Linked DNA regions of Mytilus edulis. The protein of the gene in region 2 interacts with the protein of the main gene of each other region in a biochemical or structural test. Links are inferred from orthologs where the notes say so. Each region holds a gene or a part of one and is shown on either strand. Other genes may lie near its edges.

Region 1 (13,172 bases), on a different chromosome or scaffold from region 2:
TTTTGAAGAACTGTAAAGTGATGTCCATCAATTGAAAATATTGTAAAAGTGTATGTCAGCATATTCAATAACATTGTTTGCTTGTTTGACACAGCTTAAGATAACTTTCTATACTTTCTACAAATATCATATATTGATATCTCAAGTTCACTTTATTTTTATTGCAAATGATGCAATTATTTACAAAAAGTAATATGTTGTCCGACAGCTAAAGTGTTCTCTAATAACAATTTAGTAGAAAAACATATATATGTTCATGTATGTTTTCATTTTAAATTCAAAACAATAATGATATACCTTTCTTCTGTGATCTAACTGGGAAAATAACTCATTTACATCCTTTATTCTTGTGTCCTGTAAGAAGTAAATCATTGTATCAAACGTTACTCAATACATGTATTAAAAATAAAAAAAATAATAAACCAGTCTACAAGAAGGGTTGAATGTACCAGTAGTAAAAAATAATAAAATCATTATTTTGTTGAAATATGATAATAAATAAGTCAAGAAAAATACTATGGAAGAAGTTAAAAATTTCTCATTTCTATTCTACCTGAAGCACATATAATGAACATTTAAAGCACTTTATATACAACATAATCATTTCAAATTTCCTTAACTTTTGTTGAAAAGATTAATACACAATCTTTTTTATCTTTTACTAAAAGTCTAAATTAATGATTGTATCAAAAAAGTGCCAATTATAAGACTTTTACAAAAATATTAATCCCTCTACCAGTAATACTTATCTGTATTTCTTACATTATCTTCTTCTAATGCATTCTGTACTTCTGTAAAACTTTCTTGATCGGAGGTTTCTTCAGAAAGTTTCTCCAGTTTCCTGTAAACCAATTATTGCCATGTACATTAAACTTTATTTATTTATCATAAGGTACAAATACACTGCACTGTTTAAAAGATACAATGCACTGATATGTAAGGTGCAGAGTCTATAAAAAATTTCATATAAACAAAATTTTTGCTTCTTTTTGACAAACGAACAACTTCAACAAAGGTCTTTTATTATAACGTAATATTTCTCTTTTAATATGAAATATCATAATTTTCGTAAATATCTTTCATAAAAAAAAACTGATTGACATACATACAATTTAGTTTACAGTAACTGTAAGTACTCTAACATCAGTAATTTGTGTCTTTCATCTATTTTTCTTAACTTTTTTTGTGATATCTGATATTTCAAGCTGTTTCCAACTAGGTGTTACAGTTTGTGCTGATGGTGTGTTTTGTTGTTACACCACTGTTTGATGTCAGTTTGAAGGTTTAATACTAAAAAAAAAACATGTTTAACCCTCCCACATTCTGTATTGCTTGTCCCAAATCAGGATCATGTTTGCTTTTCATTAATATACATTTTGTCAGGAAATTCATCTTACTGATGAAGGCTGTAAAGTGACCTACAGTTGCTTACATCCATTTCATATGGACTCTGGTGGATAATAATATTTAATTGACTCATTGACAATCATATCATATCTTTTTATTTTTTATATCAATCATAACAGGTACTTGATACTTTTAAAAAAGCTTAATTTAGAGGATTCCTCAAGTTTCAAAACTATAGATAGATATAAGAAGATTTGGTAGGAGGGCCAATGAGACAACTCTCCATCTACTGGTAATCATATGACAAATAATGTAACATCTGCTTATATAAATACTTCTGATCTCTTAAAATGAAGACTTGCCTCTTTTTATCTTCAATTATGAGATTATTTATATAAGACTGTAATTCTATTTCCTCTTTGATTCGTTTTTCTTCTATTGCATTCCATCTTCTTTTCTTAGCCATTCTAAGAGCACCTGCTATATCATCTCCAAAATTTAACTTTTGTTCTTTGGCTAAATCATTTGCTGCAACATAATAAAAGGGTCAAATAAAATCTAAATAATTGCTTTCTTTATATAAATCATTTGACACAATTTAAACTCTTAGAAAGTTATGTGAAACATAAAGAACCCTGGTCTCATTAATATGATAAATGGATAAGACTAAAGAGGTAAATCTGAGAAAGATAAAAGGATGGGTAGGGGTCAAATACATGAAGAATGACCGTATCTGAAAAAAATCCTGAAACAAGGAGAAAGTGTCCTATTTGGAGAAACAACATTCAAGGAACAAGTATTGCAAACACAAGACAACTTTCCTTACAAAATGTATTTCTTGCAGCAATATTGTTCATTAAATTGATAGCAAAAAGATATGCAGTAAAATTCAACTAATTGTATTATACATGTAGCTTTGAAGTACACACTAGTTAGAATCTACCAGAATAAATGTTTCATTGTAATAACCATAAGATGGCTTACACAGTAATTTTGTGATTTTTTTTTCAGACTCATCAATTTAAATCAAATGTTCCATTCTTGTATACTATAATGTGGCCTTTCAGGTACTGTATTATAATGAGTTTATCCTCATTTTCTTTTTTTTTGGTGTATTTTAAAATTGAAATCATAATAAATGTAATTCTTGAGTTGTCATATTTTTAACAGTACTGTTTTAAATAATATACAAATGTACGTAATTTCTGAATTGACTGAAAAAGTTTTCAATTTGTATTGATTCATATACATTTGTAAACTTATTTAATATTTACCTCTCATCAAACTTGCAATAGCTTCATCGTACAAACCAAGCTCAACCAAGGCTTGTCCCATGAAAAAATGTCCCTTCACTAAAGATCTGTCTAAATCTAAGGCACGACGGCAATCTTGTTGAGCTAAATCCCACTTTTTCATTTTTAAATAACATAATGCTCTATTTGTGAAGTAAGTTGATGTATTAGGACTTTTCAACTGAAAAAAAGATATGACTGTCACTAAGGTTAATTTTCTTACAAAGTCACAAAGCAATTAATTTTTTTTTTTAGGATGAAACATTTATGATCACAATTGGTGTATAGCTGTAATGTCATTCTGTCTTCCTTTGTGATTTATTACTCAATATTTATTTTCCAATAACTGGCCTGAATAATTATTATCTTTATACAAAAGTTTTCTTCAGACTTCCATGTAATTACTTATAGATGCTTTTGCTCAAAAGGAATAACCCACACAACTTTATTCAGTCTCATTTATTTAAAGAGTATGTGACCTGTCTGTGACATTTGTGTATACCTATTATAGGGTTAATCAATAGACCTTTTCAGAGCTTTGAAGCCTTTCATGTGATCCAGCCGGAAGTCGATATGGCCCAAGTTGTTTCCTAATTTCTTGAATACATTGTAATAACAAGACATTTAGTCAAATATTTTTTTAAATATTTATCACCTTAAACATGTTAAATGAGTGAAGATGATTATGGAGTAAAAAGCATTTGTGTTAATAATGATTTTATTAGAAGTTATAACATGTAAAATGAATATTCACTTTTGTGCATGTATAACTTTTTTCATATTAAAAAATAAATTGTACCATGTATATCGGTTAAAAAAATAGCAAGTTTTCAAATGACTGATCTTAATAAGTCTTTCAACTGTGTAATTATAATACATGTAGTTCCATACACAACTGCACAAGAAGATTCCCAAGGGGATGCACACAAATTTTTGTTTTTGTCTAAAGTTTAATATAATACTACTCAAATCAAGAAATGTTGTTTGATGGATGTCATTCATTATCAATGTTGATTTTTTCCTAAAACATATTCCTCTCATCATTTATTAAATATATATGATTTTAAAAAAATACACACATTTTTCATGTGCAGTTCCACTTTCCATGAATCATAAATGTAAAAACCTATCTTGATAGTTATTATTTTTTTACCATCAGGGTTGATTAACTTGGGCAGGTCAGGAATAACCACCAATTGGTGGATTATACCTCAATTGACGAATTGACATATAATGATATAGACCAATTGGTGAACTAAATCTTTGTTTTTCAAAGCAAATTATACCACCAAAATGGAGCATTGTTTTCTTAAAACCATATTATGGTATGAAAACTTGTCACACATTCCTAGTTTAGTATAGTCACATAACATATTGCATTTAATCAATAATTGTATTTGCAGTTTCTTCTATTGTTATCTTGTCAATTCTTGATTGGCAAATTAACCACTAATCACCTGTCAATGGACATCAATACTGTGTGCAGTCAAGTGATCATGAGTACAACTCCACAGGTGAATGGAGCTCTTTGTTAATACTTGACTTTCATTATCAAAAGTCAATAGTACGAATGTTTCAACAAAAGGATTGTTGTACACATGCATTCTCAAGAGATGCAGCAGGCTTTGACAAAACTGAATCTTTGGAGGACTCAATATTAATAAGGGTCATAAAATAGGTTGCAAGTTGCAAAATCATGCTCCTAACTCACACTAGCATTTTATTACAAAAAACCTGCATTATATGGGGACGAAGTCCCCAATAACAGTAGAAAATTCAAAAAAAAAAAAAAAAAAAAAAATCGGGAAAATTTTCCCGATATTTTCATTGTACTAATGAACTCAAAATCGTTCAATTTTTTTTTTGTCAGGTTTTTGAATTTCTGGATTTGCGCAGAAATCTACAATGTACTTCCTTTTTCCGGTCTCGTTTGTATGAAACTTTGAGTAAAATATATATTTATCAGTATAGTATAAAATAGGAAGGAACACAATTCCAATTTCATTTTTGATAATTCCTTGATATGAAAAAAAAACGCAAATAGTCAAAAAATAACATAAGGACCTAAGAGCTACGGTTCCGCAGATCCGCAAATAGTCAAAAAATAACATAAGGACCTAAGAGCTACGGTTCCGCAGCTACCTGATGATAGCATTTCTTTGTTTACATTGCATATGACGTCATAACTTAAATAACGTCACAACTAAAATCCCTAACAACAGAACCAAAATCGGAAACGTTACTGTATTGCCGTTTCTTTTTTTTTAACAAATATTTAGTTACAAAAAAATAATTCATACAGACTTCGTCCCCATTTACAGGTAATGCCTGCCTCATATTACGTCAATTGGTCTATACCCATATATGTCAATTGGTGGATTATATGTCAAGAGGGGTATAATCCACCTATGGGTGGTTATTCCTGACCTGTTGGGGACAAGATTGTAGCAGAATGACATGATAGTGATACCAAGTATTTACAAATTGTTGCTGAAACACTTTCAGAATTTTTGTTTTATAGGAAAAGAACACATCCAAAAATATTCTATATTGTTTACCAGTATATATAATTTTTCAACATAACTGGTGTACCATGTTGCAGTCTACATGTACATAAGATCATTATTCAGTCATTATTTCATTCACTTACAATAGCTTTTGAATAACAATTAATCGCCGAATCAAAACTTCTGTTTGCAAAATATTTGTTTCCTTGATTTTTAAGATCTGCAGCAGCACTCATACTTAACGCTCAGAGAAAGTAAAGAAGTAAGGGGAATTTAGCATGAAATCAAGATTTTTTCCTTAAATTCAAGGTCAGACATCTACTTGTAATTACAACGAAAATTGTCCTGTTTTCAAACGTTTCTATGACTAACAAAATATTAATTACAACGACGGATAAACCATGTAAATTTCCGAAATTTTTCAGACATTCTATTCGGCATTTAAACCATACAACACAACTTCAAGCTCTAGAGAGCTCTACACCAAATATAAAAACATATACATAACACAAGAACAATAATAACAACATGCATTACATATTTGGCATCTATATGTGAGAGACCTAGTTTGCCATTTTGTACTCATGCTGTGCATTTTCATGATGATCTTGCATGTGAAGTATGATCAAAAGTGTTTCTTATAAAAAAAAAAAAAAGAAGAAAGAATTATAAAGCACTTTTAATATAAACCAATTTAGAATATTAAGGTTGATACATTGATTGTTTGTTGCTTAACGTCCAGTGGCAAATATTTCATGCATCACGATGAATATAGGCTAGGTATACATAGGTTGGTCCGTCGGCCTCCGTAAAATATCCAGCATGCCTTCGGAATATATATGTTCTATAACATATATATATATATATATATATATATAGAACATGCAGGGTTATAGAACATCAGTTGTTCGACCTGTTAGTCAAGTGCGATTTGTTTAAATATACTTTTTCACTTTTTTGGTCTTTTGGAAAATGTTGTTTGTGCTGCATTTAGACCCTTCTACAACGAAATTTGTTTTACATGCACACGTATAAAAATTGCGGTTTGTATCCAACGAAATCATAGGTTTGAACGTAGTTTTCAATTTAGACTTGTATATATACAAATAGTATTGTCAAGTATTTCAATAACGGCCATGAAACGTAAGACTAATCTTGGTTAAACTTGGAATAACATTTTATATTCAAGAACACAGAAATTCAATATTAACACTGGCATAAGAGTATGATCCACTCTCTAACCATATGAATGAAAAATCGTAAATTTGAGATGATCTGTTTGACAATTAAAACACTGAAACTGGGACTATTATACTATACTGTGATGCTGTATTTTTTCTTATGTCCACCACGAAACGGGTCAAATCTCCTTCAGTATCTGGTTTTAGAATTATGAAAAATATCAGTGTACAGCTTAGCCGATGTGCTTTGATAATCTTTGATAAAAAAAAATCATTTTTGTTACTATTGCAATATAGGGATTGTGGGAAAAAAATAAACATGTGAATATGTCCACTACGAAACAAGTATATAGTCTGAATTTATTGTGAAGACTGGGAAAATGACTAAACATATAGTGTATAGTCTAGGCTTTTCATTTTACCGATGAAAAAAAAACGTATCAACAAACGAACAAAATAGTTTTAACTTATAAAATCATATGTAAACATTTCTATCCATGACCATTCTCCTAAAAAGTTAGATTTTAAAGTTAAAGTTGTTTATCGGGAATTTGTAAAATTCGTTGATAAATTTTCAGAAAAGGATCTTTGTAAAATTACATATGCACTGCATGAGCAACATTAAATCTGATATATGTGAAGTATAAATATCATTTTTGGCATAAAAAAAAGTTTTAAAAATTTGATCCGTATGATGTAATATTATTCATCAATATGTATTTGATTGTCATTTTCCTTTTAATTATTAAATGTGATCAATCTTTATGCAAAAAATGCAGACACTTATTGACTATCGACATATCATTATAATGTACATCGTAATAACAGATGTTAACTAAGTACACCGATTACCACTACTTTCATCAGCATCCAATCTGACGTCACATTTCTCAAACCCTCTAATCGACGTCCAATGTCACTTCATGTATCATGTATTGCCAAATCGATGTCCTATCGATCAGAATCTCCTCTAATCGATGTCCAATATCTTTTAATCCCAGTATACTAATCATTATTTGTTTTCCCTATAATGATTTTTATATTTTTAAGAATGGTAGAACACTATTTCGTATTTCTGAACATTCAACCACCCAATAAACGTTTAACTACAGATAACTCGGCACTGCAACTTTGAAAACTATTTTTATTTCTACAAACTTAAAAAAAGAAGGACCAAATGTCTACCGAATGTTAAGTTATGCATTATTTCGGATACAAATACATTTAAATTGGTTCACTTTCTCCTTCGATTTAAACTTTCAATAACAGACATAATTTTACCAGTTTGTTTAACAAACAAAAAAAAATGACCTAAACATGCTTTCAACAATATTGAGTCAACTCGCTCAAATAACGAAAACATTGAGATGTGACTATTGGCGATATTCTTTGCATGGTACAAGAAAATAGTTGTGTTAGACAAAAATAGCTGAAATTCTAAGAAAATATTAGAAATTCCCAGACACAAAATATGAAATTCCCAGACAATCTATCTACAACATTTAGAGTTGTGGTCCGCATGAAAAGGGATCAGATAAAAAATATTAATTGAAATTGAAATAACAATCTGTATACTTTGTTGATAAATTTATGAAAATTAATCCATTTTATTCTTATTTTTTTTAATCATTTTTCAAATTTTATTTGGTTCAAATAATTTTTTAAACTAAGACCTGGACAGCTACTTGAGACTGGAAAAACTATGATTATAGGGCCAAATAATCAGCTATCGATTTGAAATCTTATTCTTTCACGTAAAATTGGACGCCAATTTGAAGATTCCAAATATATCAATTTACCTCGAAATATAGGAACGTGACTATCATGTAAAACATAAGAGGATGAAAAATGATTTCTTCCTTACTGTCAAAGTAACAAAATTTCGTTACAAACCTTGTGATTGAGATAATTATAGATATTCCTATATTTCTATGTTGTGTCATGTGTACAATTGTTTGTCTGTTTGTCTTTTTCATTTTTAGCCATGGCGTTGTCAGTTTATTTTCGATTTATGAGTTTGACTGTCCGTCTGGTATCTTTCATCCCTCTTTTTCACAATCTTTTCGATTCTGAAAACTAGAGGTCCTGCTAAGTTCCCTTTTAGAAAATTCTTTATAAGGCTGAGTTTAGTGGGATGATGCGAAAGATACCAAAAGCCATTTATTTTCATGAGTCGAAAATAGAACGACAACGCCATGGCAAAAAACAACAACAAAAAAAGACAAAAAGACAAACAAAAGTATACACAACACAACACAATACAGAAAACTTGAGACCTAGCAATACGAACCCCATAAAAAACGGCAGTGATTGCAATTACTACGTAAAGATAAGCATATCTTGATCCACATGTAGCACCTGTCGTGTTACTAATATGAGTACTCGAGTGTACTCTTGAAGATTTTTTTTTCTTGTATATAGTTATGCATTGATCTCAATTTAGTTTTGTTGTTGCTTTGCATTTGTCACAAGCATATGTATATGCTCATTTATTATAACTTCTTAAGAGTAAACAATATATGTTTATGATAAATGAAGTTATATATCCATTACGCATTTATTTGTTTATATTAATCTTGTTTGTTTTGTATCTCAAGTTAAAGCAGTGGTTGCATTTGAAAGCAAACATTAGACCCCAACGCAATTTGAATAATTGTTTGTTGATTTATGTTAGTCAAGATACATATTAATAACGGTCCATATGTCTCGTTATTTGTAACTTGGGTGTAGCAAACATAAATAACTTGTCAAGTGAAAAACACAATACTTCATTATTACTCAAACTTGAAGAAGACAAAAATAGATATTGTATTGAATCATAATTAAAAAAATACAAATAACATATAAACCAACGATTAAACACAGTGAAAAGGTCGCGTTTTTTTTTAAACCAAATAATAAAATGTTATTACATACCATAAAACCCACGTTTGTCAGATTGTGACATCTTTTAAAAATGAAAAATATATTGACATCCATCATCCATGCAACTCCAAGCATTTTTTTTAAATTATCAATCTCAGTTAATACTTCTATGGTTAATATATAATAAGTACATCTTTTGTGTATCTTTATAAATCTTTTTTTCTCTAAAAAAAAACCCCAACCAAACCAAATTACAGTGATAAAGAGATACACTAAATATATATCACATATTGCATATATTACAGACATGCAAAAGTAAAATAAGCAATATAGATTACCATTTAAGATTTTAGTTTTCTATGTGTGTCTGTTCCCTTTTTTTAGCCAAGGTATTGTCAATTTATTTTCGACTTATGAGTTTGAATGTCTGGTATCTTTCGCCTCTCTTTTATAACGGCAAAGGGCCTAAGTGCTGATTAATAATTCTTCTAAATTTTCATGTTGTTGAGATCAAATACATTTTTGCTATTCATCATTCAATTCAATAAACCTTTAGGAATATGATTAGTTTCTATATTTACTTTTCTATAGCTATTTATTGTCCTCATTAGATAGTTCATCTAATGTGTCTTGTCAACACTGAGGTTATATAAGTATGAACCTTGACGAACTTGGCAAGTACATTCGTTTCTAAATTGACCAGGGTTGTAGGTTGTCCTGCCGCATGTCAGGGATTCTCTCCAGGCACTCCGGCTTTCTAGATGCTAAGAAAAAAACCTACGACATAGCCAATAGTACCAATGGTGGCATTAAACACCAACAATCAATCAATCATCATTAGATACAGAACATGTAAAAATATGATGACATTCGTCTCCAAAATCTTCCGAGCTACAAACTTCAAAGTTCTATTAGTTCTTGCAATATTTTGCTATCTACCAGTCAATGTTTTTATAAGACATGCGATAGTTTAGAGTTCTTTTGGATGATACTCTTTTAATTCTTATTGACGCAACCTCTATTCTTCGTTGTGACATCACTTAATTTGTTCTTACCTTGAGCAACATGACGGTACCACTATATAAGCTCCTAGTTTTTGTAGGATTCATGTTGCTCAGTCTTTAAGCTTCCAATGCTTTTTTATGATCTTGTTGAGTCTTTTTTATGATCTTGTTTGGTCTTTTTTATGATCTTGTTGAGTCTTTTCGCCGTCATTTGAATGTGTGTCATGTTATCAGATCTCTTCGGCTTCTTTGTTTTAAATGTCTTATTGGTATCTTTCCCTTTTTATTTTCTACATCAAACCTGTATTAACTGGTCAATTCAATTGTGACTGACCATATGTCATTTATGAATTACCGAGTTTCCCATGTAAATGACAAACCACAATCATTTGGTGCAGTAATTTTTCTATACGGAGTTTAATTTCGATTTCCAAATGATATGCCACATTCTCCATACAACCGTATACATTAAAATCTAGTGTATACTTTTTAACCGTTTAGCTAAATATTTGTATAGTAGGAAGAATTAGAGCCGTATGGACACATGAAATCAGATCCTACTCTGCAAATTCAACAATAAGTATCATTTGTTTAAAAAAATTACTGCTTTTTATTTACCAATAAATTAACTGCATATATATTACTGCATTAGTATACAACCCATTAATAACATATCAATTTAAGCACATGGTTTTATACATTTTTTTATTCATTTAATGTTTTGTTCGACAAGGTTGTCCTATTCCACCTATATTTAAAAAGGAAAAATAAATATTTAAGTTCAGAAAACATGGTGACAGCATTGATTTGAATTTCAAGAAAATTGACAAAATAGGGTTTTACAACTTAAGTACATAGTCATACTAATAATTAGATTTATATACTGAAATAGTTCATTGGGATTATGACATAATTTTTTTTTATTAATCAGTCAATCAAGAAAGTTTGTGGTGTTTTATTAGAATATTATTCGTAATTTTTGCATTAATATTATTTCTCGTTATCATTCAACACTCATAACTATTTTGATTGGAGGGCGTGTCTATTGATAAAAAGGTAACAATATCATTTCATATTTCACAGTTAATCAGACAACAACTTGAGAAACATGTTACCTATATTACTAGTAATTTTGTCTATCCTTTGCACTGTTTATGGTGCTCGACACAAGGGCAATAGGGTTACAATCGAATTTGAGGATTCTGCAGATTTGTCTCGACACCAGGACCGGGTTATGTGGAGAGGTGGAGGTTCGATGAAAAGAACGCTGCTTCTATACGAAGAGGAGTATATTGATATCAAGTTTTGTCTTTCTGCTCTTACTAAAATAACTGTGACTAATATTAGATATTCAAATGACGGCTTGTCAGACCATGTTCTCTTATTTATGAACAATCAAACAGTCGCAGAGTTTGAAACTATTTACCGAACTAACTGGGGACATATGTGGAATGTTTTCTCCGAAACAGGGCCTTTGACATATCCTATATTGCTGTCTCCTGGATACCACACTTTGAGGATTTTAATTAATTTATCTGACAATTATGGAACTGAATTAGATAGTCTTGAATTTCAATTAGAGAACCAACCAAGTAATGAAGTGTTCTTTTGCACCAAAGCTCTGACTGAATATGTTATGTTTTCACAACTGCCTCCTCCAAACGTACACAAAGATAAGACAGAAATAGTGAACTTGTTAACGAATATACAACCATTCCAATGTATTGATAAGTACAATGTTTTTATGTGTTTACAAACAAACTATTTAATTGGGATGCAGATATCTGCACATTCGGAATATCTCAATAATTCTGGATTAGGTATAAAATGGGATGACGAGTTTGAGGCAACTCCAAAATGTTACGTAAAAAATATTACATTATGGGCATTAGGCAAAAATGACAATTCTAACAAGGATCTAGGTCTTGGTGCAACTGGTTTCTTATCATTTGATGCAGAAAAGCTTCAAATCAATCCAAAGCTGATGCCTGGAACAATTTACAATCCAACCTCGTCTGTCATATATATCAAATTTTCTACACCAATTCAGTTTGAAAGAGGAGCCGTGTCTGGGACATTTTCTTTGGGATTAGTTAATCCTAAAATGTCGCTCGTAAGATTTCAGTACTTTAATCATAAAAAATGGAAATGGTCTACCGTTGAACGTAAAATGTTCAATCCAACCTCTAGAACTAATTTCTGGATTGTTAAAAAAGATGCATTTTCACATAAGGCACCAAATACTATTCGAATTTCTTTTTCTGGATCTGCGATACCCGTGAAAATAGATTTTGTACAGTTTGACCTTCAGTCTGATGATCCGATTGTGTCTACGCTAGATTTGTTTCATGACAGTCAGCTAGAAGTATACGGGTTACAACATTCATCACATTCCAATACTAAAATGGTACTCAGTTCTACTCATGCTCCAGGAAATAGACGATTCGTTGATCAGGTAAGCATTATGGCGCGGAAAGGCAGACGTGCACCATACTACAAAGTGATTACACTTCATTCAGATGGCAGGTTGATGCTATACACGTTAGCAGAGTTGCGACCATTGATGGAAAGCTATCCAGAAGCAATAAGCGAACCTTCTGGTATATTCATAGGTCCAAACTTCGGTTTTAGAGATAAATTTTCTTCAGTTTCGATAGCTACAACTGAAATAAACGCAGAATCAAACAGCATCCGTTTACGTTATACTGATGGCAGCAATGTTTTATTTAGATTCTCTATAGTAGCTGACACGACCAGACTTCTTTTATACGAAACAAATTTTGTCAACAAATATCCATATTATTCATGTTACTTTTCAAAATATATAAATGACAATCTAAAAGCTGTAAGTAACATTTTAATTGATGGTAGACTAAGTAATGTCGACAAATCTTTTCCAATTTCAACAAATGGCAAACGATTTTATTTTGATCATGAAGAAGCGTCATGGTATATTCAAGCAGGATCTGATTTAAT
Region 2 (13,193 bases):
TGTGAAAGTGAAAGGTGATAAAATAAAATATACTTACAATCCTATAAGACTTTACCTCCATATGATGTTTTATTTAAAATGATATCTGATTCGTATAAATATAGAATACTTTTAGAAAGAAAAACTATATGAAAGCTTAGTTTGGACAATTTAATAGCAATTCAAACTTCAGCATGGAAATGAATATAATATAACTATACAAACTGATAAACTAATTTTGTCACATCATTAAAGTGGAGTTAAAGTCTTATAGATTGTAAGTATGTTTTATTTTATCACCTTGCACTTTCATGACTTGGCTGTGGTTTTCTACAGCAGTTGGTTCAAAATTCTGACCAGTTGAACAATTTGATTTTGTAAAACAAATTGCAATTTGGTTAAAATTTTGAATGAGTTGCAATTGGTGGAGAGCAACACTAACAGTCAACTCACTGTAATATATATATCTAATTCAAACTGAGAAATATGTTGCTGTTTTGTAATTTATAATATATTTAAATACAACTGTTGAAATAATGGAAATAATGGCAATACTAAACATTTACCAGAACATGTTATCCTTAAGTTAAACAGACCAATATTGGTTATTTTTTTACGCTACTTTGTGTGGCCTGTTCAAATTTCCACGCGAAGTACATAACACTACAGGGAGATAACTCTGTAAAATCAGCTGAATGTTAAAACAAAACCTATTGATAAGTCTCTCAATGATCAAAATTAATGTTTTCCAAATTACTTTGTATATATATATATATAATGAAATTTTTCAGGCAAAGTTCAAATTTTTTGAAATTTTGTATTTTTGTCAAATGGTCTAAATAAATATTCTGTCAAATCTTTAAGAAAAGGTGCTAAAATGAAAAATAAATATCAGAAAATGATACTCTAAATAAAATTTAATAACACTGACATCAAAAGATTGTTATAGAGTTTCTTGTATTAGCTTTGCACATTCTTTCAATGACTTGTGTTTTTTAACAATAAAAATATTTCACCCATTTCTTTTATATCTTAACTTGTGATGATTATATATCTATAAATTGATTTTAAGGTTTTGAATAAAATTAAAACAAATATATTTTTGCTAGAAAATAAATATTAAATTAATGTATTGTTTTGATCAACATTTTGTAATTCATTTTGATAAAAATAACATATTTTTAAGTGTACCAGTACTCATGGTAATGTAGAATATCAGACCATGGAAGACCCTCAAGGGTAGTCAAGGTCGTTAAACACCCCTAATGAAGAACTGGTTACCATGAACTGGTTACCATACATGTAGTAGGCTTCTCACATCTTTTGCAGCATATGACCTAAGATATTGATGTACTCATTGAAGAAATAATTGTGGTAAATCGATAAGAATAATAAATATACATTATAATTGCATCTGCATCAGAAATGAAAACGACAAGGGTGGAGACTTTTCCTTGGCCTAAGTTCAGGGCAATCATACATATCTTCTTAAAAAGGAAGCTTTATATGAATACTACATGTATGTACAAATGTATACATGTAGGAAGAAAAAGAAGCATCAAACGAAGCACATTAACAGATCTTTTCTTATCTCACACTATGAAAAGCATTTCATAAAAAAGATAACTATGAAAAAGTGTCCATCCTCTGATTAGCTTACATGTACTTGTATTATAAAGGTTACACTATTAGGATTTATTGGTAAATAATACATTAAAAGAAAAATTTGGAAGTTTCAGTGGAACCCATTGTCTCGACGACAGAATGTAGGATCACTTTTGTGACAAAAGTCCCAAGCTCATCAACAAAAATAGTCTTTGAACAGCAGTACATTGGGTACAATTCTTATTAAAGAGGGATAATTTATTATTCTGGCCATGTTAAAAATTCAAATGTTCTCTTGGGGCACTCTGATTTCCTCAACCATAAAAAACAATTTCTGCCATGAAATAGCACAATAGTGTTGAAAGTGGTGTTTAACAAGCAATTGGCAAAGATATACATATGAATAAATCCTGACTTTTAAGTTTCCAATGTAAATACAATCATCACCTTTTCAAGTTAGTAACAGGTCAAATGTTCAAAATGTACAAAAATGTGTATTTAGTACTCAACAAGAATGTGTCTATAGTACACGGATGCCCCACTCACACTATCATTTTCTATGTTCAGTGGACCGTAAAATTGGAGTCAAAACTTTAATTTGGAAATAAAATTAGAAAGATCATTATATTAGGGAACATGTGTACTAAGTTTCAAGTTAATGTTACTTCAACTTCATCAAAAACTACCTTGATCAAAAACTTTAATCTGAAGCGGGACGAACGGAAGGATGAATGAATGAACAAACGAACAAAGAACAGACCCACAGACCAGAAAACATAATGCCCCTCTACTATCGTAGGTGGGGCATAAAACTGCAAAATTTTCTATTCCAATTATTTTTCAATTTTAAAGGTAAAAGTACCTAAATTCACTTCATTTTGTTTGTATAATGTTTATTTGACAGTTGTCTCAACTGCAATGCTACTTATTCCTTTACGCGAAATATAAATATGTGTGGTTCCAGTTACATGTATGTCAGGAAAAAATTATGTTTGTATCAATTTAAAATACAATATTATATATTATGTTTATCAATTTTATTTTTTTAAATTATATATATATATATATATATAATTAGGATCCTTTCAAGTTGACTACATTCCTGAGGAAATGCATCTCATCTTCTATTTCAGCATTAATTAATTTGCTAATTCAATCTTCAAGTGTATCGATCATTAAAATGTCAGTGCTTTCCAATTTTTAATTTAAAAAATGTATGAAGACATAAATGTGTAGGTCTAAATTCAAATCAACTAATACACCTCTTTCATTTAAAGGGAGACTATTTATATGTACATTGTACAGTACGTACATTTTCGAACATGTACATGTATGCTTGTACAGGTACATGTTAAAAATGTATGCTCTAAGTCAAATTCAATTTATATAATCTTTATATGTCTTGCATGTTCTTATTTCAGTTTTGTGCAATATTTTTTTTTTCTTCTGTCACAAAAATAACAGCTACATGTATGTACATGTACAAAAAATGTTAAGTTCCCTCTTGATGAAAAAAAAAATCACCTAATTTATTGTATCTTATTAGTATCTTACAAGAGAAATCTTTTGACAGTACATGGAGTGATGGTTTTGATTATACCTATAACCTAGGAATTCCACCTAAATGTTCACAAGTACAAAATTGTGATAGCAAAATAACATTTATAAATGGGGATTGTGTCCATGGGACACAGATGATACCCCCACTTCACTTGCATCTTATATAAAGTTATAAAGGGACAAAACTGAAGAACATTAATCAAAATGCTTGTAAGCACCTAGGGTAAAGGCTGTTTTCATTTTTTTAATGAACATTGCATTGTATAAAGCATTGGTTGTAGTTGATTCAATCAATTACAATTATGGACAAGATAACTGCCATTTTAAAAATTATTTTGAAAATTACATCATTGTTACTTTTAGAACAGATATTAGATTCCTATTTTTCCCTTTGTAAAGGAGCATAACTCTAGAATGTTTGAAGTGACACCACCAAAAATCTGTATTTTGTGGTAATAAGCATTGTGTATAAGTTTAATAACATTTGGTTAAGGCAAATTAAGGAAAGAGAACGAAAACAAAAAATTCAGCATTTTTTTTATTCGAGAACGGTACAGTACATGTATGTGACGCCACCAAAATTCAAACTTGATCTGTGTTTTGTGGTAACAAGCTTTTGAATAAGTTTATTAACATTTGGTTGAAGCAAACTAAAGTTAGAGAATGGAAACCAACTTAGGGATGTACATGTACATGTATGTCATGTATGTACGGATGTACAAATATGTTACGTACAAATGTATGTCCGTACGTACAGACGGACGAGGGTAATCTTTATGCCCAATCCGCTATGGCATTTGGCATTAAACATAAAATGACTATTCAAACTGTCTCATTTTCCTCCACTTATAATAAGCATGTTAAGGAGATTTTGAATATCAGAAAGACGTTCACTTTTTTCAATTTCTGTTTCAATTTTTCTCTATTTGATATTGAATGCAATTTTTGTTTAGCTAACAATCGAAACAACCATACTGTGTCAGTGTGAAATTTTTGTCTGAGTTGTGCCACTTTGTCTGATAAACATCACTTCAAACAACTATAGTATAACATAAATGTGCACAGTCACACTATACATGTAAGTATACATGCTACCGTAAACAGAATTGACAAAAAAAGTGAAAAAGCACAAATCTAAAATCCTTATATAAGCATTTCAATTAAAAAATGTCATTAGGTTTCAAGTATTAATGCATTGTGAAAACAAATATTTCATCAACGAAATTCCAGTCAGATATTCTCTTGAATATCCTTTTTATATTAGATACAATTTTTTTCAAGTCTGATAAAGTTTTTTCGTAGGCAAGACATTTTAACTGAGGAACTATACAGGCGTCAAAAGGCATCATTATGGAGGAAAGGGATAATTATAAGGTAACATAGGAACACTCTTAAAATTTACATCAAACACACACATATCACTAAAATAGTAAGTGTTTTCTGCTCTATAGTCGGACTGTTGTCTCTTCGACATATTCCCCATTCCCATTCTCAAATTAAGATACATGTACATTTTCTTTCTATTTACATTTAAATGTAAATGGGTAGGACATACAATGTATAAGAAACTAAGGTTTGCAAGATTTAGATTCACCAAATGTTGTTTTTCTCACTTCAAATTTTTAGCTCCAGCTAATGAAATATTTAAATAAGATCATATACCTTTGTACATGACCCATCTATTGTCATTATCAACACAGAGAATAAGAAAGACATTTGTAAGCACCTGTCTTAAGTCATGCGCCTGTTGTTCAGTGATTCTTGTTTGTTGGTCTGGACAGTCATGACAGTGGTGAATAAATGAGGGGGAGGTAGGAGGGGTCCTGATCCTGAAATTCTGGGCTTAAAAACACGAAATCCTGAAGTCCCGAATTTAAATAAATTTAAATCCTGACATCCCGAAATTTGAAAAAGAATTTCCAAATCCTGAAAGGTTCAATTCCAAAATTCCGAGCTTAAAAACACCCGATCCTGAATAAAGGTCCTATCCCCCTCATAAATGTTTCTTGTGTCTTGTTTTTTTATAAATAGAGAATCACACACACATAAGACCAATGGTTTTCCTGCAGATTATATTGTTTTACACTTGTTATTATGGGGCCTTATTAGCTTTCTGTTTGGTATGAGCCAAGGCGGTGTCCAATGCCGTACTTTGACCTATAATCATGATAATTCACTGTAATTGTAAACATTTTATACATTGTGACTTGGATGGAGAATTGTGTCATTGGCACTCATACCACATCTTCTTATATATTTATATCATGCTACAGGCTTATTTTGCTTTGCCCACCCGTCTACAGTGGTAGTGGGCACCAGGTGGGCAAAATTTCTAGCTTGTCCACTGCCCACCCATACTTACAAAATGTAGGAGTGGGCAAGCAATTTCTTTTGTTGAATCAAAAGACTTGCAAGTAAAATCAATTGAAAAAAAAGCAGATAAACATATGTTATCAAAAATTTTACAAAAAAGAGATTATATTTATACTACATATTTACTATAGCGAGTAAAAATAAAGTCAAAGAACAAATATTAATTAAAGTACAAAAATGAAGGTCTAAGTCTTAGTAAACATTATTATGTTCATTCTTAAAATGATTTTAGTGATAAATAAACTGTTTAAGAAAACTTACTAGTTCCTTCTCGTTCAGTTGCTGGTGGAGAGTTGAAACCTTCACTCAAACGCTTGCCTGTCACAAATGACATCAATACACAACAAACGAAAATAATAATACATGATGAAGCCATTGAAAATCTCATCTTAGTCTATCAAATGTTAAAAATAAACGTTTATACAATATCACAGAATTTGGTAATGCAAATATCTAGTAAGTACACACTGTTGTTTTTGTTGATCGTCATTTTATCAATGAATCTGGATGAATGATTTCACACATGGTGATGAAGGCAGCAACCTGGGCCATGAGAAATCGAAATGTAAATGTGCATGTTGCGATGAAAATAAAGACATGAATCCAATACAATATTGATGATTTGGTTTTACATTTTGATGAAATTCTCGTTTTGAATGTTTCATAATTTGTTCAGTACAACTATCCATGAAATAGGCCTTGAACTTCTGTATTGTTTGTTGAAAAACCATGCAAAACAAGCCCGGAAATGTCCATCATTTTCACAGTCCACAGTAAAACCGAGCATCCGAATTAATCTCACATGTATTGCAGTATCACCTTGACCGATTTTTACATCACAAAAAAAGAATTCCAATGTGTATTTGATAAATTAATACTTATTTTTTACCTCCATTTCAATGTACATAGCGGAAAACAAGACGTAAACAACCTCGTTAGATGATTGGTCAATTAGTCATTCAGAGCTACAACCATGATCAATGCTGTAGTTTCGTATCCAAAACGATCAAGGTCACCACCTAAAGTCTATTTTGTAGTATTGTAGACTACCGCTTGTGGTCATTTTGTCTAATTTCTAAAATATTGCCAATGACGTCAAAGATATATTGTGGAATTTAACACCGGTTTCCTTCAGTTTTTTACACAGAATTTACTAAAATTTATAATTTCATAATTTTTAAGTATTTGAAAACCCTGCAATTAAAGTAGATAAAGACTATAAATTGCAGAAAAAATGTGTTTGGTATTTGTTCAAGTCAATAGGGGCAATATAATGAACAGAAAAAATAAAGGCAGTCATGGTTTTGTCAAATGTGATGCTTCTATGAGATATTTATAAATTTCATTAAAATGCAGACACGATTTTTTAGTGATTTGTTTTATTCCGAAAAAAGGTAAATTACAACAATATTAAATCAAACATTGATTGGGAATTTTACACAAACAAATATGTTCAGCAATTATTTATCAAATGGGATAATAATGCGATTATGCATACTATTTAACATTTTTAAGTTAATTTTATACCCCTCTTTGTGATCGTATTAAAAACTTCCAAAATATTTAATATTTCAGCTGCCTGCATCCTGCATGGGTCCAATGTAAATCACGATCAATTTTAGTCGGAAGGTTTTTTTCTCTCTATAAAACGCAATCCTACAAGTTTGTATCTAACTGAGCATTTTTAAATTTTATTGCTCTGCAAACTTTATCTGTAAATGCATCTGGCTGTTTTGGGAGCATTTCCTTGTTAAAAAAAATGTCTACTACACGTATTAATTGTCTACTGTAACTCCTCGACTGTGGCATGATTGCTATATGAGACAATATCTGAAAAAGTCTAGTTTTTGGCAATAAGAATAAACCAAAAAAAATTCTTTAGACCCGGTATTTTAATAGCACAAATCGAAGAACACACATTGGGGATCTAGGAACTGTTGTCTGTAATTCAAATAATTGTTTATTAAGGAAACAATGGCAATTTAAAAAATGGTACAAAAAAAATACAGTTCTTTCCTGTTACCAAAGTGAATCAATTTTTAAAAGTTTCTAATGGGAATAAGGAATAAGTTTAAGACACTATTTGTGGTTTACTAGTATATCCTGCAATAGTTTATCAAATGCCAATTATTGATTTTAGCATTTGCAATACAAAAGGTTTAGAAATATACTTAAATATAGTCAGATATGTCGGTAACATGAAAGAATCTTGAGTAACAGGACAACGGTAACAGGACAGAGTTGGTAACAGAAAGGATTTTTCTGCTTTATTTTAAAGTTTAAGAAAAATAAATCATTTTAGATTGGTCACAATTGGAAGATAACAGCAAACAATGTCATTTATCCTTTGAAACTGTATTTGCAAGATGAAAAATCTGCCTAGGTAATGAAAAATTCTAAAATAAATTCCTTTCTGTTACTATCTACTATACTAGAATTGCACAATGTTCTCTGCTGTTATCAAAAGCAAAAAACCTATTTTTTTATTCAATATACTGTATATTATTTTGAAATTTATTTGATATGGTGGTGATAACTTACATTAAATGAAATGGTTGGCATATAGTAGATTAACTGTTCGATTCTTCAGTGAAATTGTCTTGAACATCCTTCCTGTTACTGATGATGGTTATGCTGTTACTTTTGATCAGGTAACATGACAGAACGTAACAGAAAGGAATTACGCGATAGTTTTTGTCCTTTTTATCACATTAAATGTAAGTGTATTTCCTGTGACATATAACTTTTAAAAAGATGATATAAAAACACACTTAATGTTGTGGTGCACACTTAAAAATATTCTCAGAAAGTGTAAAAAAAGGCTATAACAGGATAGAACACCAATAAGTATTTTTCTATAAATTCTTACCTTGGATGGGCTTGAATTTTCAAACCTGGCCGCCTTTCCAACTATTTCTTTGTACTAATACATTCAGGGAATGATGCTCTTCACAATACATAATGGGAAAATAACTCTTGGTCTTGTAAACGTTTCCACAGGTAAAAAAAACCCAGTGGTAACAGGAGGGAAATCACCCCTGGGGACAATTTTTTTTTCTCTTAAAATTGGCAAAATTTTATTACATGCTATAGTTATAATATAAAAAGACAAATTAGGGGCAAGTTGATTACATAATATATCATATATGTGAGAATCGGACGCCTTTTTAATTAATTTGGATATTATTTGAATGATTTAGTTTTCAAAAAAACACAGGGGACAACATGATTTTAGGGGGGGGTTGAACATTTGAATCACAATATTTTATTGGAAGAAATATAAGAATGAGTGTTTAATTGGCAGGCCATGGTGCATTATAGAATTTAGTTTATACTAAAACTTAAAATTTTCGAAAAAGATGGTTGAATAAAAAAATAATTGCTGGTGAAGTGAGGGACATGGAAATTAGACTTTTTCAGATATTGTCTCATATGCATTGATATTGACAAAAATATATATGACATTGAAGATGAATGATTGTAGGTTGGCAGAGTGGGATCTTCATTACCGTAATTTCCTTATGAAGTTGTCATTCGATTCTCTTTTTTGCGTTTTCTTGACACAATAATTCAAATATCTTAATTTATGAAGGTGTGTAATTTTTATATTATTTTTATTTTAACGGTAGATTGTATAACTAAAATGAGTAAAATATATATAACTGAAATTGTATAGCGGTTTTTTTTAACAAATTTTTATTTTAATAAATATTTTTTCATAAAAAAATAAATAAAAGGATTTCAAAGAATTTAAGTAGTTGAAAGAATTTCATTATTTTTATCAAAATGATAAATTATGCTTTATCTAAAACACTCATTGTTGCGTATCTAAAACACTCCTTGTAGCTGTATCTCAATATACAAATACTACATACTGTTAAAAAAAAACACTATTAAATTAGGGGATAAACATATATAAACGTTATAAGGTAGCAGAAAGTATACCCCATTTCGTTTATTTAAGTTTTCTGCTCGCAAAAAATCAGCCTATTATACAGAGTGGCGAAGGAGTCAACTGAAATGTGAGAGGAGGGCTAACTTCTATTAGTGAAAAGCAACAAAAAAAAGGAAAAGAATTTTCCGTCCACTCACCTTGAGTTTCTTTTTTCTATTTTTCGGTCATTTTCACATGAAATCATAGCTAAGTAGCTTTCAACTAACATCGACCAAACAAACAAATAGAGTAAATTACTTTCATTTGGAAAAAAAAAACACAAGTTGTTAATAAATTTAGCCCACACAAAAAATAAACTAGGATATATGATATTTTTTCATAGTTTGTATTTTATGTCACACTTACATATAGGCGAGTGACTTATTTCAAAAAGACGCTTAGTTAACGACTTTAATGCACCCACCTAACACACGGCTGTATTATATATCATTCGAAAGCTGTTAATCTGTACTTTCTGTTTTACCCGGTCGTAAAAAAATCGTACGGTGCAATTTTTGTTAAATCAAGGTCAAAGGTCATGAAAAAAATTCCAATTTTTGCGATTACTAAATAAAACGCCATTTTCTAATTCTTGTACCATAAAATTTTCCAGAAGATCATATGAACTTTATGGAACATGATACATAATTTCCAAATCAAACAAAAAATAAGAGATTCGATGCGCAAAATTTCCCAAAAATTGAAATTTATCACAAATCCTAAAAAAAATTAAAAATTATTCAAAAAGCAAAATATAATTGAGGTTAAAATATGTTTTTTACGAAGTCAAACTGTTTTACTTTTTGTAATCTTGTTTAAATGCAAACATTACTTTGCGACTAAATCGTAGGCAACATTGAAATAAGTAACCTAGTTTAGAAACACTTGGTTGTCTAAAGCGGAATGTAAACGAACTAAATAATAAAAATGCGGCTGCTTCTTATTTAGTTTAAAATCGTGTTATAGTAAGTCATATTAAATGTATTTAGAAGTTTAATCGCTTTAATTATTTGATGATAAAATATGCTTTGAGTATTTTCTACATAAGCTTTAAAAATACAAATGCATGTCATTGTGTATGTAAAACACTATAAACAGTTGTGAAATAACAAAATGAAAAAGTTAAATACCCTTCCTGACCTCATAAGATCATTCGCTGTTTTAGGAGTGTTCGTTTTCATGGTATGCCGTGTTTTTTGGACTGTTGTTCATCTCTTGGACTTTAATCTTATTTTGTTCATGGTGATTGTCCCTTTGGTATTAATTTATTTTAAACACATTAACTTGCAGTAATGAAAATCAGCCAAAAAATCACCTCAAAGTAAAGTGAAGTAGATTAACGCAATAAGACAAATATCCGCGAAAATAACTGAATTTGCTCACGATGATATATATATAGAACCAAATCGTTATCATGATACATTTAGCTACACTGATCTACAATTTTAAAACCTTTTACTACTTGAATAGTGACGAAATATATCAAAGGGACATCAAACTCATGATTAAAAACGAACTGACAAAGCCAGGCAAAAAACGAACAAGACAAGCAACAGTATACAAAACACAACATATAAAACTACAGATTGAGTAACACAAACCCCCAAAACATTTTTTTAAATTAACTCAGGGGCTCCCGAAGGGTAGGCAGATCATGTTCCACAAGTGACACCCGTCTTAGTTTAAACATATTTATTTATAGTGGATTGGGAAACAAGTTTTGCAACTTAAATTAATCGCTTTCCACTTTGCGGGTGCGAGTGCTGCCTTGTAGCGGCATTAGCCTGCTCTTTTTCGAAATCTACAAAGGTGTGTTTACAAGAGATATGGCTCTCTCTTAACACGGGTCAGTCATTTATCGTCCCCTTCCGACGGACTTTCATCGTTTCCTCAAGACCATACTCACAAATGGTGTCAAGGAAGAGCCGAAAATTCAGTCCCTGAAATTTTCATCACGGAATGGAAACGAACCAGTAACCTTTGTGTTAGTAGTCCGATGCACTAACCACTACACCACGACTCTCTTTTACCCGTCTTGTGGCTCATGTATTTCCTAACTCGGTGCCAAGCCTTATTCGGTTGGTGACATTCACGGCAGAAATGACGGCAATTTGGTTACGTCGATGGAACTTATCAGTCGTCATCTGGCGAAACAGATATCTCATAATTGCAACCAACTCGTAGTGGCGTCCATGAAATTTTCAAAGGGATGATTTCAACTTTGCATTTGAACTCTGGTTTAAAACACCATTTTTCTTCAAATGTCCTGTACCAAGTCAGGCATATGGCAGTTGGTATCGAATAATCTGTTTCTTTGTATGTTGGCGTTTGTTTTTGTAGCAGTTCTGTGTTTCTGTTATATCTTTGTGTTCCTCTTATAGTTGATGCGTTTTCCTAGTTTTTGCTTTGTGACCCGGATTTATTTCAGTTACTATAGTAAATCGATTGATGACTATTTAATAGCGGTATACTATAGTTGCCTTTATTTCAGAGGAGTTGAGGCTCATATCGGTCTCTCCTTTAGTAGTATAGATATGCAGGCGTTGCTATAATGTAGTTGCATAGAAATGAAAAGTTTATAATTTGGTAGTAAGGGGTGTTTTTATGGGTTGTTTTATGCTCATCTCTTTTGTCGTAAAACTTGCTCTCAACCAACCCTCATCATCGATTTCAAGATACGTGATAGAGTAAACTGTATCTTTTGAGTCTTTTATTTTTATTGAAAATACGAGTCCAACATTGTCACAAATTTTGCGATATTCAGTGAGATGACATCATCTATATAATGGAACGTGAAGTTTCAAGATAATGATAGCGTCTTTTCAGTCGTCATCAGAAACTCTTGCATGAAGTCATCCTCGTATGAAAAATGAACTAGTCATTCAAGCTATTCAGGAAGTCTAGTTGTAACTAGAATCGTTGCGTATTAATGGAGATTTTTTCTTCAAAATTATTCTTATTTGACGAATTAATGCATGTAAACAATGAACAACGCAATTTAAGCAATCAAGTAGTCAAGTTTTATAATGTGTTTACTAGTTTTAGAAATTCTTTGAAATTTCAATTTTCATCAATTTATTTTCTATTTATTTTGGTCTAAATTTTCTATTCACATTAAATAAATAAAAGGTCTTTTCACTACATCAATATTTATAATGAAGCTACAAATCAAACAATTAGAAAAGTCGAAATATGTTTATTTCAGTCTGGTAGTTACAATGCAGATTGCAATCTCTTAGATTCACCCCATTTATTTCAAGCAATAAGATGATTAGCGCACATATTTTTTCTACTCTAAATTATTGACCACATACAATGTTTAAATAGGAAGAAATGCTTAAAAGCTGTTTTTTCGCAGATGGCGGTATTTTGGGCAACTGTATGAGTTGTCAAGTTATGATTTGCTGTTTGATTAGAAGTAAGCATAATTTTAGAAAATTTTATGATGTCAAAAACTTCTTTGATAGTCATTACAGGGTTTTACTTAGTTTTAATTGATTAGCATTTGCACCAGAAAGAAAAATTTGGGTTTTCACACATTTTGTAACTTTTACTCGAATTTCAGGAAACATGTGCTATCTGTCAAAAACACGCTTTAAATATTAAAAAAATGCATTTGAATAATGACTGTTAATCTCTCTGCTAAAAGTTTAAATTGTTTGCATATGTGAATTTAGTATATAAAAGTCATTTTATGCAATCAGGCTGAAATCTTAGAAAATATGCACTTATTCGTCCTTGG

Evidence for each region.
Region 1: of the proteins of insulin-like peptide receptor (region 2) and E3 ubiquitin-protein ligase CHIP-like, one has a biochemical effect on the other in vitro, tested with the Caenorhabditis elegans proteins (2 studies listed by BioGRID, with this or other methods). The link is inferred for Mytilus edulis from reciprocal best matches to the Caenorhabditis elegans genes daf-2 and chn-1.

What each region holds. Positions count from the first base shown.
Region 1 is NC_092352.1:15,885,726-15,898,897, forward strand, and holds the start of E3 ubiquitin-protein ligase CHIP-like, read right to left. Parts: upstream 5,476-13,172; 5' UTR 5,383-5,475; coding exon 5,290-5,382; intron 2,821-5,289; coding exon 2,622-2,820; intron 1,876-2,621; coding exon 1,710-1,875; intron 842-1,709; coding exon 763-841; intron 355-762; coding exon 298-354; intron 1-297.
Region 2 is NC_092347.1:4,562,321-4,575,513, reverse strand, and holds the start of insulin-like peptide receptor, read right to left. Parts: upstream 6,593-13,193; 5' UTR 5,906-6,592; coding exon 5,779-5,905; intron 1-5,778. UniProt on the Caenorhabditis elegans protein: Insulin receptor-like tyrosine kinase which regulates metabolism, controls longevity and prevents developmental arrest at the dauer stage.